2 linked regions of the Notamacropus eugenii genome follow. The protein of the gene in region 1 purifies or fractionates together with the protein of each later gene. This does not show direct contact. Links are inferred from orthologs where the notes say so. Each region holds a gene or a part of one and is shown in the gene's direction. Other genes may lie near its edges.

Evidence for each region. The genes of interacting proteins can lie anywhere in the genome.
Region 2: the proteins of FOXJ1 (region 1) and TBC1D32 purify together in Homo sapiens (affinity purification with mass spectrometry; 3 studies listed by BioGRID and IntAct, counting the BioPlex papers as one, with this or other methods). This does not show direct contact. The link is inferred for Notamacropus eugenii from reciprocal best matches to the Homo sapiens genes FOXJ1 and TBC1D32.

Annotation. Positions count from the first base shown.
Region 1 is NC_092873.1:342,501,218-342,508,305, reverse strand, and holds the start of FOXJ1 (forkhead box protein J1), read left to right. Parts: upstream 1-4,074; 5' UTR 4,075-4,162; intron 4,163-4,772; 5' UTR 4,773-4,944; coding exon 4,945-5,430; intron 5,431-7,088. Other genes in the region: E3 ubiquitin ligase RNF157, read left to right, coding at 1-58. UniProt on the Homo sapiens protein: Transcription factor specifically required for the formation of motile cilia. Acts by activating transcription of genes that mediate assembly of motile cilia, such as CFAP157.
Region 2 is NC_092873.1:203,877,539-203,885,249, reverse strand, and holds the start of TBC1D32 (protein broad-minded), read left to right. Parts: upstream 1-4,695; 5' UTR 4,696-4,996; intron 4,997-5,163; coding exon 5,164-5,318; intron 5,319-7,711.

The DNA of each region.
Region 1 (7,088 bases):
CAGTTGCAGGAACAGTCAATGCTGGCACTTGTCATCAAAGCAGCCTGGAGGACCCTGAGAACAAGCCTTGTGTAAGGAGGCTGTCTGAAGAGTCCTAGTCCCTGTCATTACAGGGCCTTTTTCCATCCTCACATTCCAATGTGTCCCCCACTGGACTGCTGACCTCATGGGTATTCCCACTAAGACCTGTGCTGACTTTTTATATCTGTGTGTAAAACTGGATGTCAAAGTCATTCTACACCTTGTCCACCTTCTCCTACTCCCTGGATCTCCACTTGGAACAGACTGGAAGTCCCTCTACCTGGAGCTAAAGTCAAGTTGATGAACTATGGTTCATCATTGCCTTTTCACAGACTTCTGCCCCATCTGCCCTCTTAGGTAGAACAGCTCGTTGTGTGCTGCCTGCCTGGTCTCCATTTTTTTTCCTTATGGTTACAGCAGGAAGGCTCAGAAAATTGGCTGCTTCACTTTCCTTTACCCATGTTACATTATCTGACCTCCAGCACAATTAAACTACCTTGGCAACTCTTCTTTTGGGTTAGCCCTCATCCATGGCAGAGCAAACCAGGCATCGGGTACTAAGCTATCTTGAAGCAGTTTCTCTACCCACTCTGAAAAGTAGTATCCAGTGGGATGGTTAAATCTTTCTTACCATAGAATTCTAGCTTTTGCCTCTTTGTGCTCTGTCCTGGAGACAGGACCACTCTCTTTATGGGGAACCTTGACACTAAGTTCTCAACTGTTTGTGCTCTGGACAATATACATGAATGAAGGTCTGCCATCCTTCTTCCAGATGTGTGTAGTACTTACCAATGGTTCTCACATTAGTGTCCAGGGACCCTGGGGAAAGGAATGAGGGTCTGAAGTAGAGCCTCAAATAGCTGGAGGGGAGGGGAGGGGAGGCATGTGGCATCAGTGAACTCACTGAGCTATATGAAGGGAGTGAGCAGGCCTCCTCCACCTCCAGGGCTTCCCCCTTACATTCCTTCCTGCTTAGCCTTAGCTAATACTAAGAGGTTCAGTGGAGGAGCAGATCTGTTACTACATAGAACTTGGATTACAATATAGTTCAGGTCAAATGAGGTGCTTTGAAACATAAGTGCATACAATAAAATCCTGAACCAAAAAGGCTAGCCTCTAAGTCAGGTATCATTCCTATCCCCCCATCAGGGTTATTTGGAGGAGTTCTGGATACTGTTTAGTTAATAGCATTTAAAAGGGAGATCATAGGCTTTTGTGGAGGGGCGGGGAGTGGTCAGGGAATGTGGAAAAGTGAAGCTTCCAGTGACTGGGTACAGGCGTCCTTGAGGAATATATTTATTTTCCAGGAGGAGCTCTCCTGTATTCCTGTGTTAGAAAGCCTATGTAAGTCCATGCTCTAAAGACCTATGACCTAAAGACCCTGAGAACTCCCCTCTACCTTTCCCCATGGTTTCCCACCCCAGAAGAGGTCTTGTGTACAACCTAGTGGTCTAACTGTACATTCCCTGAGGTGTAAGAAGCCTATCCAGGTGCAGATCCAAAACAAGTTTTTGTTTTTTCTCTACTATTCCTGGTTATGGCTTGACAACTCAAAAGCTTAATAACTAAGGCAGTCTTTTGAATCAGTAATTCTTAACATCCCAAGAAAGACCCTTGGTCCTTTATCTGTCCCACAATCACTCTTTCCTAAAGCAAAAATTAAAATAAGCATAGTTAAGCAATAATCCCTTTCCTTGGGCCTCTGTAATCTGGGTGGTTACATCAGTGAGCATGCAGACCTACCTCTAGCAGTCACTGGGTAGTGTTAAACAGGATGCTTGGGGGAGGAGATGGGCTAATGGAGACCACAGTTAAACAGTAGCCAAGGCGGCCAGGAACCTTAAACCAAAATAAATATCCTCATTCCCTTTACTGATTACCTGTGTCTTTTGATGCTGGGGTGTCAGAACCTACAACTCATCCCTCTGCCTCAAATAGCCAGCAAGAAATTGAAGGCTGAGACCCAGAAGAAAGGTGGTAGTAATCCTTTTCTTGTTTCAAAACTGTCTCCTCACCCCCCACTGCGAAGATGTAAATGTGGTGGAAACAGCTCCTTAGCCCCTTTTTTCTTAAGATAGTTCCTCTTTTTTTTTTTTTTCCTATTTAGATACTTCGCAGGTAATTATCCCATTCAGCAGGACCTGACAAAACCCATGCTATTAAGACGTGAGGCACTTACTTGCCAGCCTGGCTTTGAAATGACCACCCCACCCCCAAATGACAATACCAACCATGGTCTGCTTTGACCCTATCAGGTTAAGAAAACACATCAGGGATAAAGCCACAATGTTTCTAAGAGAGAGAGTGAAAAAGGCAGGTCCAGAAGCATCAGTAGAGGAAGGCCACCTCCCTCTTCTGTAGTGGATCCAAATGGGGGAAGAAGAGAGGTCTGGTGGGAGCTGTGGGATAAGGAAGGACTTGAATAGGATGAGCTGTAACACCAAATCGCTCCTTTGCCACACCTTGTTCTGTTCCCGTCCTATTATTTTCCAAGGATGGGATGGTTTTGATTTCCTCACTAAGACATTTTCTTCCTCCTCCCATTCCCCGAGCCAGTTCTATTCCACCTGGAATCCCCACCATCCTGGGAGCTTTTAGTGCATGTAGAGCACTCATAACCAAGAAAGTATCTTATTTCAAACTGATGCTGGGACTGGTGCAGAAGTGGCATGATGTTTCCCAGAGACTTTGCACACTTTGTGTGTGTGTGTTTATGTGCTTACTGTTGGTGACAGTGTATGTGTGCATCCCCTGCTACCTTTGGGGTGCACACATAGGTAATGCTGCAGGTGCCACGTCAACAATGCAATGTTTATGGATTTCTGCATGGCTCTCAAAAGTAAATAAAACTGTTTACAAGAGGAAGGGGCAGCTGGTGACTGAGAATTTGGCCTGCTTTTGAGAGATTCTGTACCAATTTCCCCCAAAACATCCTGCAGTTACTAAAGAGGTTCCCTGGAGGTAGGGGATGTGGAAGAGTAAGAGGTCAAGGTGGAGGGGGGAGGGAATGCTTCTTGGTGGGAGTTGACATGCCTTTCCCAGAGCTTCCGCACCAACCTCCTGGGCAACAGCTCCCCTTTCCCTCCCCCAGATGACCCCAGTTCTCCCTGTACAGGCCTGTGTGATGAACTCCCCTCCCCAGCCCTTGATTCTGCTAAGGCAAACTGGAGAACTTCTAAGTACTCTGAGGCCTTTAATAATTAAACATCAGGAACGTTAGTGACTAGGGGGAAGCCAGAGAAATGGAGGAGAGGGGGGAGGGGGCTCCTTTCTGCCAAAAGGTAAGAAACTACAGGTCCATCGGAGTTTCTCACCTTGCTCTTTGAGGTTTGCTGTCTTGTGCCCCCCTTCCCTCTAATATATTAGGGGAGAGGGGGGATGGAGAGAAGGTATTCAGTGAAAAGTGGCTTTCCCTAGCTGGCTGGCCATGGCACAAAGAAGGATAATGTCCCTGAGCTGTGCTCCGGTCTGCTCCAGACTTTCGCTTGGCTCCCGGGCGGTGGCATCGGACAGACAGACAGACCTGCCAGCGACCTTGGATGACCCTGGGGATCAGGGGTCAGGGAACACAAAGAGAACCAGGGCCGCAGCAAAGGCTGCAGGAACTTGACGGAGTGCCTCGCACGGCCCCGAGAAGGCCCCCAGCCCGCCCGGAGCTCAGTCCCGGGAGCTTCCCGTCAGTCAAGCAGGGCGGGGACGGGGGCAACCGGTGAGAAGGTCGAGCCGCCTCCCGGGAGCTGCGCGGGTCTGCGGCTCTCAGCGCGGGGCCCGCGGCGCTGGGCGCGGGAATGCGCGGAGCGAAGGGGGCGGGGTGAGGACCAGACCAAGCGCGGAGTTCGAAGCGATGCAGCGGGCTGGAGAGTGGCAAGGCCCGCGGTCTCCATGGAGACGCGCGGACCAATGGCCGCCGCGGAAGCTGTTTATGGGGGTGGGGCGTCGCCATGGCAGCGGGAGAAGCCTTCCCGAGCAGCTACTTAATGCCGGTCCCAGGGCCGCCAGCGCTCAGAGAAGCTCAGCCGGGAGGGGGGGGTGGGACGAGGGGCGCTGGCGGGGCCACGAGCTGGGGGCGGAGAGTGGCGGGGGGCGGGGGGGCCCTTTCCTTCCAGAACCTTCCTCGGGCCGGGGCCGCGCTCTGAGCCAGGTAAGGGGCGGGAGCGGGGAGGGAAGACTACAGGGGGAAGAAGGCGGGAGGGAGGACTGGGGCAGGAGCCAGAGGGGGCAGCCAGTCCGGAGCGGGCTTCCTCGTCCCGGGCGGACGCCCCCACGGGTTCGGGGGGCCGAGTCCTCCTGCCCGCCTCTGCTCCAGTCCCCAGCCGTCCCTGCGGCTTCTTCGGTCTTGCCTTCTCGGTTTTCCGCCCTCCCTCCCTGTACAGCTGGCCCCCTGCTCCCCTGTCCCCCATTCCTGCTGTGGTTTGGGGGCGAACCCTCCGGACGCCGGTTCTTCCAAGAAAGCGGGAGAGCTCAGGGGCCCCGAACCGCTGCACCCGGACTTTGGGGGCTAGGAGAGCCCACCCTAGCACGAGAAGGCGAGACAAACAGGGTGGGCTTTCCGAAATTGGGACCGGACTCGTCCTGGACCCGACGTGTTCCGCGTCTCGCTCAGGACACCTTGCTACCCCTACCTCCCTACTCCCTACCCCGCTCCCGACCCCGTCCCACCCTGGCAAGGCCATTTAACAAGAACCCGCGCCTCCCCGGGGCTGAGGGGTGCCTTCAGTCTTAACTCTGCCCCTTCCACCCCGACCCCCCAGGCTCGGCTGTCCCGACGTGTTTGCTGGAGGCAGCCCCGGGATGGATCTAAGCACCGCCGCCCGGGACCCCCTGTGAGTGGAGCTGCGGTCGCTGAGTCAGAGAACGCAGGAGGACGGTCCCCGCGCTCAGCACTTGGATGCTGAGCTCACCCGCGGGGAGGACCCCCCAGACATGGCAGAGAATTGGCTGCGTCTCTCCGGAGCAGGGGCGGTGGAGGAGGGCGCTCTGGAGGAGCCCAGCGGCCTGGATGACAGCCTGACCAGTCTGCAGTGGCTGCAGGAATTCTCCATCCTCAACGCCAAGGCCCCCTCCCTGCCCCCTGCGGGGACTGACCCCCATGGCTACCACCAGGTGCCAGGCTCAGCAGCCCCTGGCTCACCCCTGGCTGCAGATCCCGCCTGCCTGGGACAGCCACACACCCCAGGCAAGCCCACCTCCTCCTGTACTTCTCGGAGTGCTCCCGCTGGGCTGCAGGCCCCACCCTCCGACGACGTGGACTATGCCACCAACCCCCATGTGAAGCCACCCTACTCCTACGCCACGCTCATTTGCATGGCCATGCAGGCCAGCAAGGCTACCAAGATCACTCTTTCCGCCATCTACAAGTGGATCACAGATAACTTCTGCTACTTTCGCCATGCTGACCCCACATGGCAGGTAGGGGAGGGCACACAGGCAGGGATATTCTCCCCCTACCCCCATTTCCCCTCCACTCTAGGGACTAAACCCAACCCTTTTGTGTTACCAACTCAACATCCATCCTTCATCCTACTCTCCCTCTCTCCTCTTCCCCAAATCCAGAGTGGTCAGGAAAGCTGTCACCAGGCACATTCTCCTAGTTAGGACAGACACCTTGAAGTGTGCAGTCCCCAGTATCTGATTTGGGTTTGGATCTTTGTTCCAGGTGCTTGGAAGGTAGGGTTGCCCAGATTTCTGATCTGGAAATTTGATCAGAATTGGGACAGTGTGTGGTCCCCTGGTGGTCTAGTGGTAGGGAAAGTGGACCAGAAAAAGAAACAGAACAGTGCCTCCTTAGAGAACATGGGAAGTGTGAACTTTGCCATCCTTTAGATTCTCCAAGTCACTTGGTATGTTTAATTGGGAAAAGTCAGTGTGTGTGCTGAGATTATTCCAAGGATGGGCGGAAGTTTTATCCAAGGCACTAGAACCTTGTTTCAAGGTCACATGAGTGTCTGCGGATTCCAAGAACTTAAAGGCTGAGGTTTAAGAATCCCCAGTCCTGACCAACACCTTTTTTTTTTTGTTTTTGGCCACTATCTTCCCCAAGCTGCATTTTGAAATGGACAAGCTGAACTTTTGGGGGTGTTTGTTCAGGGAAGGGAGGAAACAGTGAGGTGTGACAAACAGCTACGACTCCCTTCTGGGATGTGTATATATGCACCCTTCCTGGCTGTGTGAATGTGTGTCCTTCCTGTAGCTACAGACCCCCCCTGGAGGCCTCTCCCCAGTTTCCTGACTCAGCTCCTCCCATTTTTCTCTTCCTACTCTCCCTAGGGGAGCAATTACCTGGGCCAGATGCTCCCCACAGGGGATCTGCCCATGGCTCTTATTAACTGTTCCAAGGCTCTGGAACTTGACATAGCACAGCCAAGGGGCCAAGGCCACCATGTAAACAGCTTTGCCAGGACAGCCACTTCTCCCCCGCTTTTGGAAAATGGAATGAGCTGGCTTAAAGGGTACTGAGTTCCCTGATGACTTCAACTACTTGTCTAGGATGTTACAGAGGTGGGGGTGGGGGTGGGGGTTCATGCCTCCTGTGGAAATAGGTGACTTCCAAGTTCCCTTCCATCTCTGAGGTTCTTTGTGACTGTGTAACCCCCTACCTTCCAACAGAGGCAGGCCTGGGTCCTACTTCCCTAAGTGGAACACCATGGTTTAGAGGTGCACCTGAGCTCTATGGAGGGGGGAATCCAAGGAAGGATGATAGAAGAAGGATCAAGTCAGACTACCAGTGCAGGACCAGGGCCCTAGAGGCAACAATGGTCCCAAGAGAACTCTTCCCCCACCAAGGCAGGGATAGGTCCCTTCCCAACAGTCTCTGTAAGGGACTCTGAATCTCCTTCCCCAAAAGCACTGTTGATACTCCCAAGTCTGGGAGAAAGTGGATGTTGGAAGTAAGGGGGTGAGGGGCAGATAACAGATTCCTAATCCCAAACCATTCACACTTGGCTGAAGTTTGAACCCTGACTTCCGGGCAATTGCTACCTAAAGAATTGGAGTTTTGACAGAGGAGGGGAGGTAGGAGAGTTTGAGACAGAGCCCCAACCCTATTGCATGGAGAGGCTGGGGCACTA
Region 2 (7,711 bases), about 140 Mb from region 1:
ATCTCATGTCCATACAGGTATAAGTAATGTGATGAAGTGAAGAGCACTGAATTTGGACTTGGAGGATTTAGTTCAAGTGTAAGCTCTGCCATTTATTACCTGTAGGACCTTGAACAAGTCATTTCTATGGACCTCAATTTTCTCCTTCTATAAAACTAGATGACCTACTATAACAGCAAGCACCCAAGCACATCCAGGATGACCTGCTAATATAGGTTCTTGATTCTACTTTTCTTAAAGGAAAGTTACTTAAAGGGGTCAACAATCACTGTAATTAAACATATATATCATTCACTTAGTTCAGGGGAAAAATCAGAACCCTTAACTTCAGAGAAAATACAAACAGAAATTACAAGCAGAGAAAATAGCAGAGGTCAACAGACAGGGCTTCTAACTGTTTTGAGAAATTGTCACAGATCAACAGACAGATCCAGCTGTCTGACCAAAGCATTACATACATAGTTACCAGAGAGAGAAGTACCAACACCTGGGTTTTCAAAGCCAGGGGGCTCCTTAATGACTACCCAGAATCTCATCTGGCCAAATCACATGAACCTTTTTCCAATGAGTGAGCCCCAAAGTAAAATGCTTAACTCAGAATATATAGAGCCAGAAGGCATCATAACCCACAAGTGCTTCAGTGCCTAATTACCAAATGGTGTGAAAGCCTTCAAGCAAGCAAACCTCTATTAAACAAGCTTCCCTTAATGGGCTCTGTTTGAGCCCTAGTAATGGACTGGGAAGATCTTCAACTCCTATTAACATTACACCTACCTCCAACATCTCCTCTTGCTCTAAATCCTATGAATCACTTCTAAACAATTAGAGATATCAAAATTTGGAATGGGCATGGAGGGCTCTCTCTTCCTCAATGATGGCCTTTAGGTAGGATGAATGATCACTTTGGGGATGCTGGAGGTCTTTTTTTGGTAGGATGGAGGTTGGAGTGGATGGTCTCTGTGGTATCTTCTACCTCTTAGGTTTTGGGATTTTGGTGTTGTACTTGGGTGTTATGTCTATCCACTTTATAAAATACAAGTATTAGTTATTTGAAATAGTTTCTGGGTCCTTTGGTGCTTATTCCATGTAGTGGCAACTTCTAACTTCTGAAAAAAATGGTAGCTTATAATTATGTCTTTGCCTTTATCAATTCCCCATTAAAAAAAAAAAAGTCATGCCTTGTTTGCATAGATCAAATTGGATTTATATAGTAGTTGTAATTTCAGCCAGTGTTTTCTTTTCATCTTTATTCTTGCTTTTCCTCTGGCACTTATTGGGATTTTTGATTTAAGTAAATGCATGACTGAATGCATAGAACCTCCTCATTTTAGGAAGACTTCTACACTGTTAACCAGGGATTTCTGGTCCCTTTAAGACAATGGTGTCAAACTGAATTAGAAAAAGATCCCTTCAGGGGAAATATTCATTTAGGAAGTCACAAATTAACTATATATTTTCAATTTTATTTCTATCTATTTTATTAGACATTTTGTAATTGCATTTTAACTTGGTTGGACAGTAAGCCACATGCTGCAGTAGACCGTGTGTTTAACACCTTTGCTTTTAAGATATAGTCAATTCCACTGGTTTTCATGGGTTTAGTTTTCCATCCTCAGCATGAAATTTAATTTTGTGGACAATGGTTGATGTTGTTTGTCAAAAGTGCATTTTCAATAACCCCACATATTTAGCAAATCTCTTTTAGGTAAGGGAAGGGCAGGGAATAATCTTAGAATGACATATTTTGGGGGGAGATATACGTCAACACAATGATAGGACATTTCATCTCCTGTCTCCATGTCTTTGTACAAGCTGTCTTCCATGTCTGGAATCACTCCTTCCTCACTTCCATCTCTTATAATAACTAGTTTCTTTCAAATTCCAGATTAAACGCTAGCTTTTACTTGAGGTCTTTCATACTCACTTGCCCCCACCAATTACCTTGTATTAATTTTGCATATGTTATAAACTTATATGTATATGTATCATCTCCCCCTTGGGAACCTGAACTCTTTCCTTTCTGTATTTGTATCCCCAGAGCCTAACATACTGCTCAGTAAGTACTAGGTACTTAATAAAGGGTTATTGATTAATTGATTGGTTCTATTTATGGCAGGAGCCATACATATTGTCTCTACACAAAAATTTCAAGATTTTGGCTCACTAAAATCAAAACCCTCAAAATGTCTCGAAGATGTCTTTTAAGCACAGAATCCTCTCAGGGACTAATGTGGAATTCATTTGCTTACAGAAGTATATGTAAGTAGAGTTGTACTGATTGGCAAATAAAAATTTTAAGTATTTACCAAGTGTTAGGTACTCTACAATATCTTACAGTAGAAACACCAGCAAGCAAGGCCTTCCAGAAGCTTACATTCCAAATGAAAGGAAACAAAGATTTGGGGTGTGGTGCTGGAAGATGGTGGGAGGGAAGAGATGCTGAGAGATTGAGAGAATTTGTGCAGAGCTATGGGTCAGGAAAGATAAAGCAAAAGCTCCCCTATTCATGTCTGGGAAACCAGGTTCAGATGGGAGGGAGAAAAGGATAGGCTTAATGGCTAGGGAGCAGACATGTTAAGGAAACTGCCAAGAAGTGGAATGGAACATATTATTCCTTTCAAGTTGCTTTCCATTTTATACCATTCAAGTTTCTGTACCATGTTGCATGCCCTAATGAGATTCTAAGTTGGAGTCCCAGAATGATAAAGTTCAATTATGCTGAAAACCATTAGTCTATAGATTTCTAACTGGAAGAAAAGATCATCTAGTGCAACCTCTTCATTTTTATGGCTGAAGAAATGCAGGTCTTACTTGTCCTTCCCTGGTGCTGACATTTAACACACAAAATCCACTCTGGAGGTGAAGTTCTCTTCCTGAAGGCACAGACTGCCATGCTTGCTGATTTTTGTACCACCAGGTATCCTAAGGCACCTAACACCTGGAAAGTGCTTAATACAGTTTTACATTTATTGGATCATATAGAACACTATGTTACACAGTGTTTGATACTTCAGAGAATGTGCTCCATCTTTTGATTCCTTAAAATGTTGCTTTCTAGAGTGGCTTCCCACTCAGACATCTAAGTTACTCATACCAGTTACCCAGAGAGATAAAAGAGAAAGGAAAAGTACCTACATGTACAAAAAAAAAAAAAGTAGCCCTTTTTGTAGTAGCAAAGAATTGGAAATGGAGGGGATAACCTTAGAATGGTTGAACAAGTTGTGTGTGATGTAATACTGTTGTGCTATATATAAGAAATAGTGATCAGGATGGTTTTAGAAAAACCTGGGAAGATGTGAACTGATGCAAAGTGAAATAAGCAGAACCAGGAGAATAATGCATATGGTAATGGCAATATTGCAATGATGAACAACTGTGAAAGACTTAGCAACTCTGATCAAAACAATCATCCAAGACAATTCTGAAGCACACATGATGAAAAATGCTATCCATTTCCAGACAGAGAACTAAATAAATTCTGAGTGCAGATTGAAGCATAATTTTTCACTTTATTTTTCTTGCTTTTTTTGCAACATGGATAACAATGAAAATATGTTTTGCATTTCACATGTATAATTGATATTATATTGCTGGCCTTCTCAATGACAGAGAAGGGACTGGAGGGAAAGAGAGAATGCAGCATTTAAAAGTTTTTAAAAAAGGAATGTTAAAAATAAATAAATAATGAATTTAATATTTTTTAAAAAATCAGTTAAGATTGTTGTTGCCAGAAGGAAGGAGATAACCTGTGGTAAGGCTCTTAAATTGCTTAAATATGAACCCTGTATGTAACAGCATGTTTAAGCATTAACTTTTTTTTGATTCCTCTGATTTCTTTAAGAGTGTGAAGTACATAATCTTAATGCAGCTCTGTCACTATCACTCATTCTGCATTCTCAACTTTCTCAAGCATCACTTTCAATTTTAAATTTAGATTAAGTGATCCTTTACCTCTTATCACTTCCTCCCTTCTAAATCCCTGCCCTTCCTCTTAATGAGGGGTTGTTCATTTGGAGTCCAGCAGCTTGAAAAACAAATGAAACTATTTAGTTATCATAACAGGTTTTCCTTAGAATCCCATGTATCTTATTTTATGCATTTAAAAACATCTTGAGAAAGGGGCAGCTAAGTGGTGCAGGGGATAGAGGGTCAAGTCAGGAGGAACAATTTCCCTGAGCTCAAGTCTGGCTTCAGCCTCTAGCTGTGTGACCCTAGGCAAGGCGCTTCACCCCGCTTGCCTCAGTTTCCCCATCTGTCAAATCAGCGGGAGACGGAAACGGCAAACCCACTCCAGTATCTTTGCCAAGAAAATCCCAAAGTGGGTCACGAAGAGCTGGATAGGGCTGAAAAGCAACCGAACGAATAAATGGTAAGAAAAGGTTCATGGGTTCAGCAGGTGACCAAGGGGTCTACAACACACATGCAAAAATGTTCCCCATCCTCCCGATTTCTCTTTTCCTTTCCCAAGAACTAAAATCAACAGTTACATCCGTCTGGCCTCTCCCTTTCAGCTGAGCCCCTTCCTCCCCGTCCAGCCCCTCTTTACCCACTGCATTCCCTTCCACCCACTGTATTCTCTCTTTCCCTCTGGATTCCCGCCCCCTTCCAGAGCCCCGCCTCCGCATAGCCCCGCCCCCTAAGCTCCCACAAGCCCCACCCCCTCAGAGCCCCACCCCTTCAGAGCCCCGCCTTACCAGAGCCCCGCCTCCCCGGCCCGCCCTTCTGCTCTTTCCAACCTTCTTTCTCCAGAAGGAGATGGGGGCGGAGATTACTTTCCCGTCGACGTTCACGTCATCACGCTAACGCAGTCGTTCCCGTAAGGTGCCAGCCTCCTCCTTTTCACTCTACCCTTGCTGTGGGTTAGCCCCCGCCGGCCTGGGTCTTTGGAAAAGGTGGAGGCGAAGGCGGCTGCGTCGTCCTCGCCCTCGCCCTCTCCCTCGGTGGCATCTGGGTCCGCTTCCCTAGGCAGGGACCGTCGCGTCCCTCTCTTCCTAAAGTAAGGCGGTCTGCTCTTTGGAAAGAGGCCGGGGAGCCCCGCCCCTAGCGTGGGGCCTTCTCCGCGGCTGGGCCTCGGCCCCGCCCCCTGGGGGGAGGGGTGGAACGCGCCGCGTCCCCGGTCCGGGGCTTTTAAACTCACCGGGCTCCCTGGTGTTGTCCCCACAGATGGCCCATTTCTCCGGCGAGGACGAGGCTCGGCTGCAGGCCATGCTCAGGCAGTTGCTGCAGAGCGTGAAGGAGAAGATCACGGGCGCTCCCTCCCTCGAGTGCGCGGAGGAGGTCCTCTTGCACCTGGAGGAAACTGACGAAAACTTTCACAAGTAAAGCTTGGTTTGGGATTTTCAGCGAGCTCTTACACGGAGGGGAGAAGTTTAAAGGGCCCTGGGAAGCGGTGTCTGAGGGAAACCTGCCGCTCCTTCCCTCTGTCGGCTTAGTCTTTTACCTGCGCCCTCCCGACGAGGCTCCTTTGAGGAGTGGGTGGGTCCGCAGGGGGAACTCTTAAGTCTGACTTAAAAAAATACCTTTCGTGCTTCCCTTCCCCTTATCTCTCTCCTTCGTGTTCCCCCTAACACTTCTCCACACCTTCCTTCCCCTCCACCCACGTACCCGCTAATACCCTGTAGCTGGATTAGGGGTAGGGGGGAGGTTTAATTACTTAAAACCAGAGAGTTAAAGAATCTCATTTTTGAGTCTAATCAGCACAGAGGGAATGACTATCCCCCGGGAGTGCAGTATTTTGTTCTTGGTTCAGGGATCGAAGGACTTTATTTCTTTACTGAAAGATTAGGATAATGGAGTTTCAGTGGGGATTTTTCAGACTGGGATTTTTCTGATGAGCTGAATTTTATAAATGAAATATCAGTTTGTATAATATATATAGTAACTTTCAAAACCTGACCTCAAGATTCCATAATTTTTTCTAAACCCTTCATATTCTGGCTTACCTCAGCAAGGTAGTTGTTATGCACCCCTGGGGATTCTTGGCATTATTAGTGATTCCATTAGTTACGCTGCAGCTGCTCTGATTAGAACCCTTAGTTATCTTTTAGCCAATGATTAGTTTTAGAATTTTTTTTGCTTCGTTAATGATAATTTTCATCCAGGTTTATGATTATGCATAATCTCAGTCTACTTGCATATTTCCTCATTTCAAGTCTCAGTACAGACCATTAGATGATATTCCTTTGAGAGGCTAGGGAGGAATAATTTTATTTGATTAGATTCTGGGTTTTTAATTTTCCCTTATACATGGAGAAAAAAATCAAGGAAGACTCAGGTTTAGGCAGATACTGTTCTGTTTTTTCTTAGGCAGCACAACTAGTTGGATGATATACGATCCTGGACAAACTTTAAGCCAAATACAAGATGGATGGTATTATGTCACATGCAGTGTGTGTCAAATCATTTTAATGATAATTGATACTAGTAGCTTAGTTAAACTTGTAATAAGAATAGACATTTAGATTTACAAACAGCTTTACATTCATTTATCTCATTTGATCACCACAACTCTATGAAGTACGTAATACAAATATTATTACCATTTTACAGAGGAGTAAACTGGAGGTTAGAGAGGCAGAGTCATTTATTTTTTTCTTGGATCATACAGCTAATAAGTTTCAGAGGTGAGCTTTTAACTCGGGTCTTCTTGATTTCAGCTTCAGCACCTTAGCTGCACTTAGGTTCCCCTGTAAAAATAGTATGGCAGATCTTTTCTTTTTCTTTTTTTTTTTTTTTGAGGTGGGGAAGAGGCATATTTCATTAAGTAACAGCATTATTTCAATATTAAGTGGCTGTCAGATTCAGCACCAAAAAGGAAGCTCAAACTTGCAAATGAATTTAAGGGGTCTGGAGTTCAGAAGGGAACTTCCCTTTATCTTCTCTGTCTTTCTGGGGAAGGCAGGAGAAGGGAATAAGCATTTATATAGTACCTACTCTATATTCAGTACTGTGCTAAGTGCTTTTTACAGTATTATCTCATTTGATCTTCACAACAATCCTTCAAGGTAGATGTTTTTTTTCCCCATTTTGCATTAGAGGAAATTGTGCTTAGAGTCACGTTCTATCTAGTAAGTGTCTAAGGATGGATTTGAGCTCTGGTCTTCCTGATTCCAGTCCCAGAACTCTATCTACTTGCTAGATAGATTTTCAAAGAGTGGTATGAAGACTGTAGATGAGAGAAGGGGTCCCTGACAACCTTTGATGGAGCCCAAAACAATAAAACTTTTCATAATACTAAGATGTTTTAATTTCTAAAATGGTAAATATTGATAGGTATAATCCACATAAGCAAAAACTCTTTGGGAGGGGCCTCAACAATTTTTTTTTTAGCAGGGAAGGTACTGAGCCCCAAAAGCGTGAAAATCCCTTTTTTACGGGAATAATGCTGGTTAGATTTCCAGACCAGCCCACAAAGCCCTGTCCAGCTGATAACATAACTTAACTGTAGAGTTGAATGTACTAGATTGTGACTGGGCTTCCAAGAACTTTTGAGATGCCTCACGGAAGAGTAAAATGATTTCTTTTTCCTTTCCTGGCTTCAGAATTTAGTATAGAAAATGTTTTTTAAAAGAAAAAAAGATTCCTTCATCTTCACCCATTCAGCCCCTCTGAATCTTGTAGTTCTTCTTGCCTTTGAAGCCTAAAATGCTAATTGATTTGCCCTTCAGAGTGCTCTGTGATCGAAATTTATCCTTCTCTCTTCTTTCCTCCT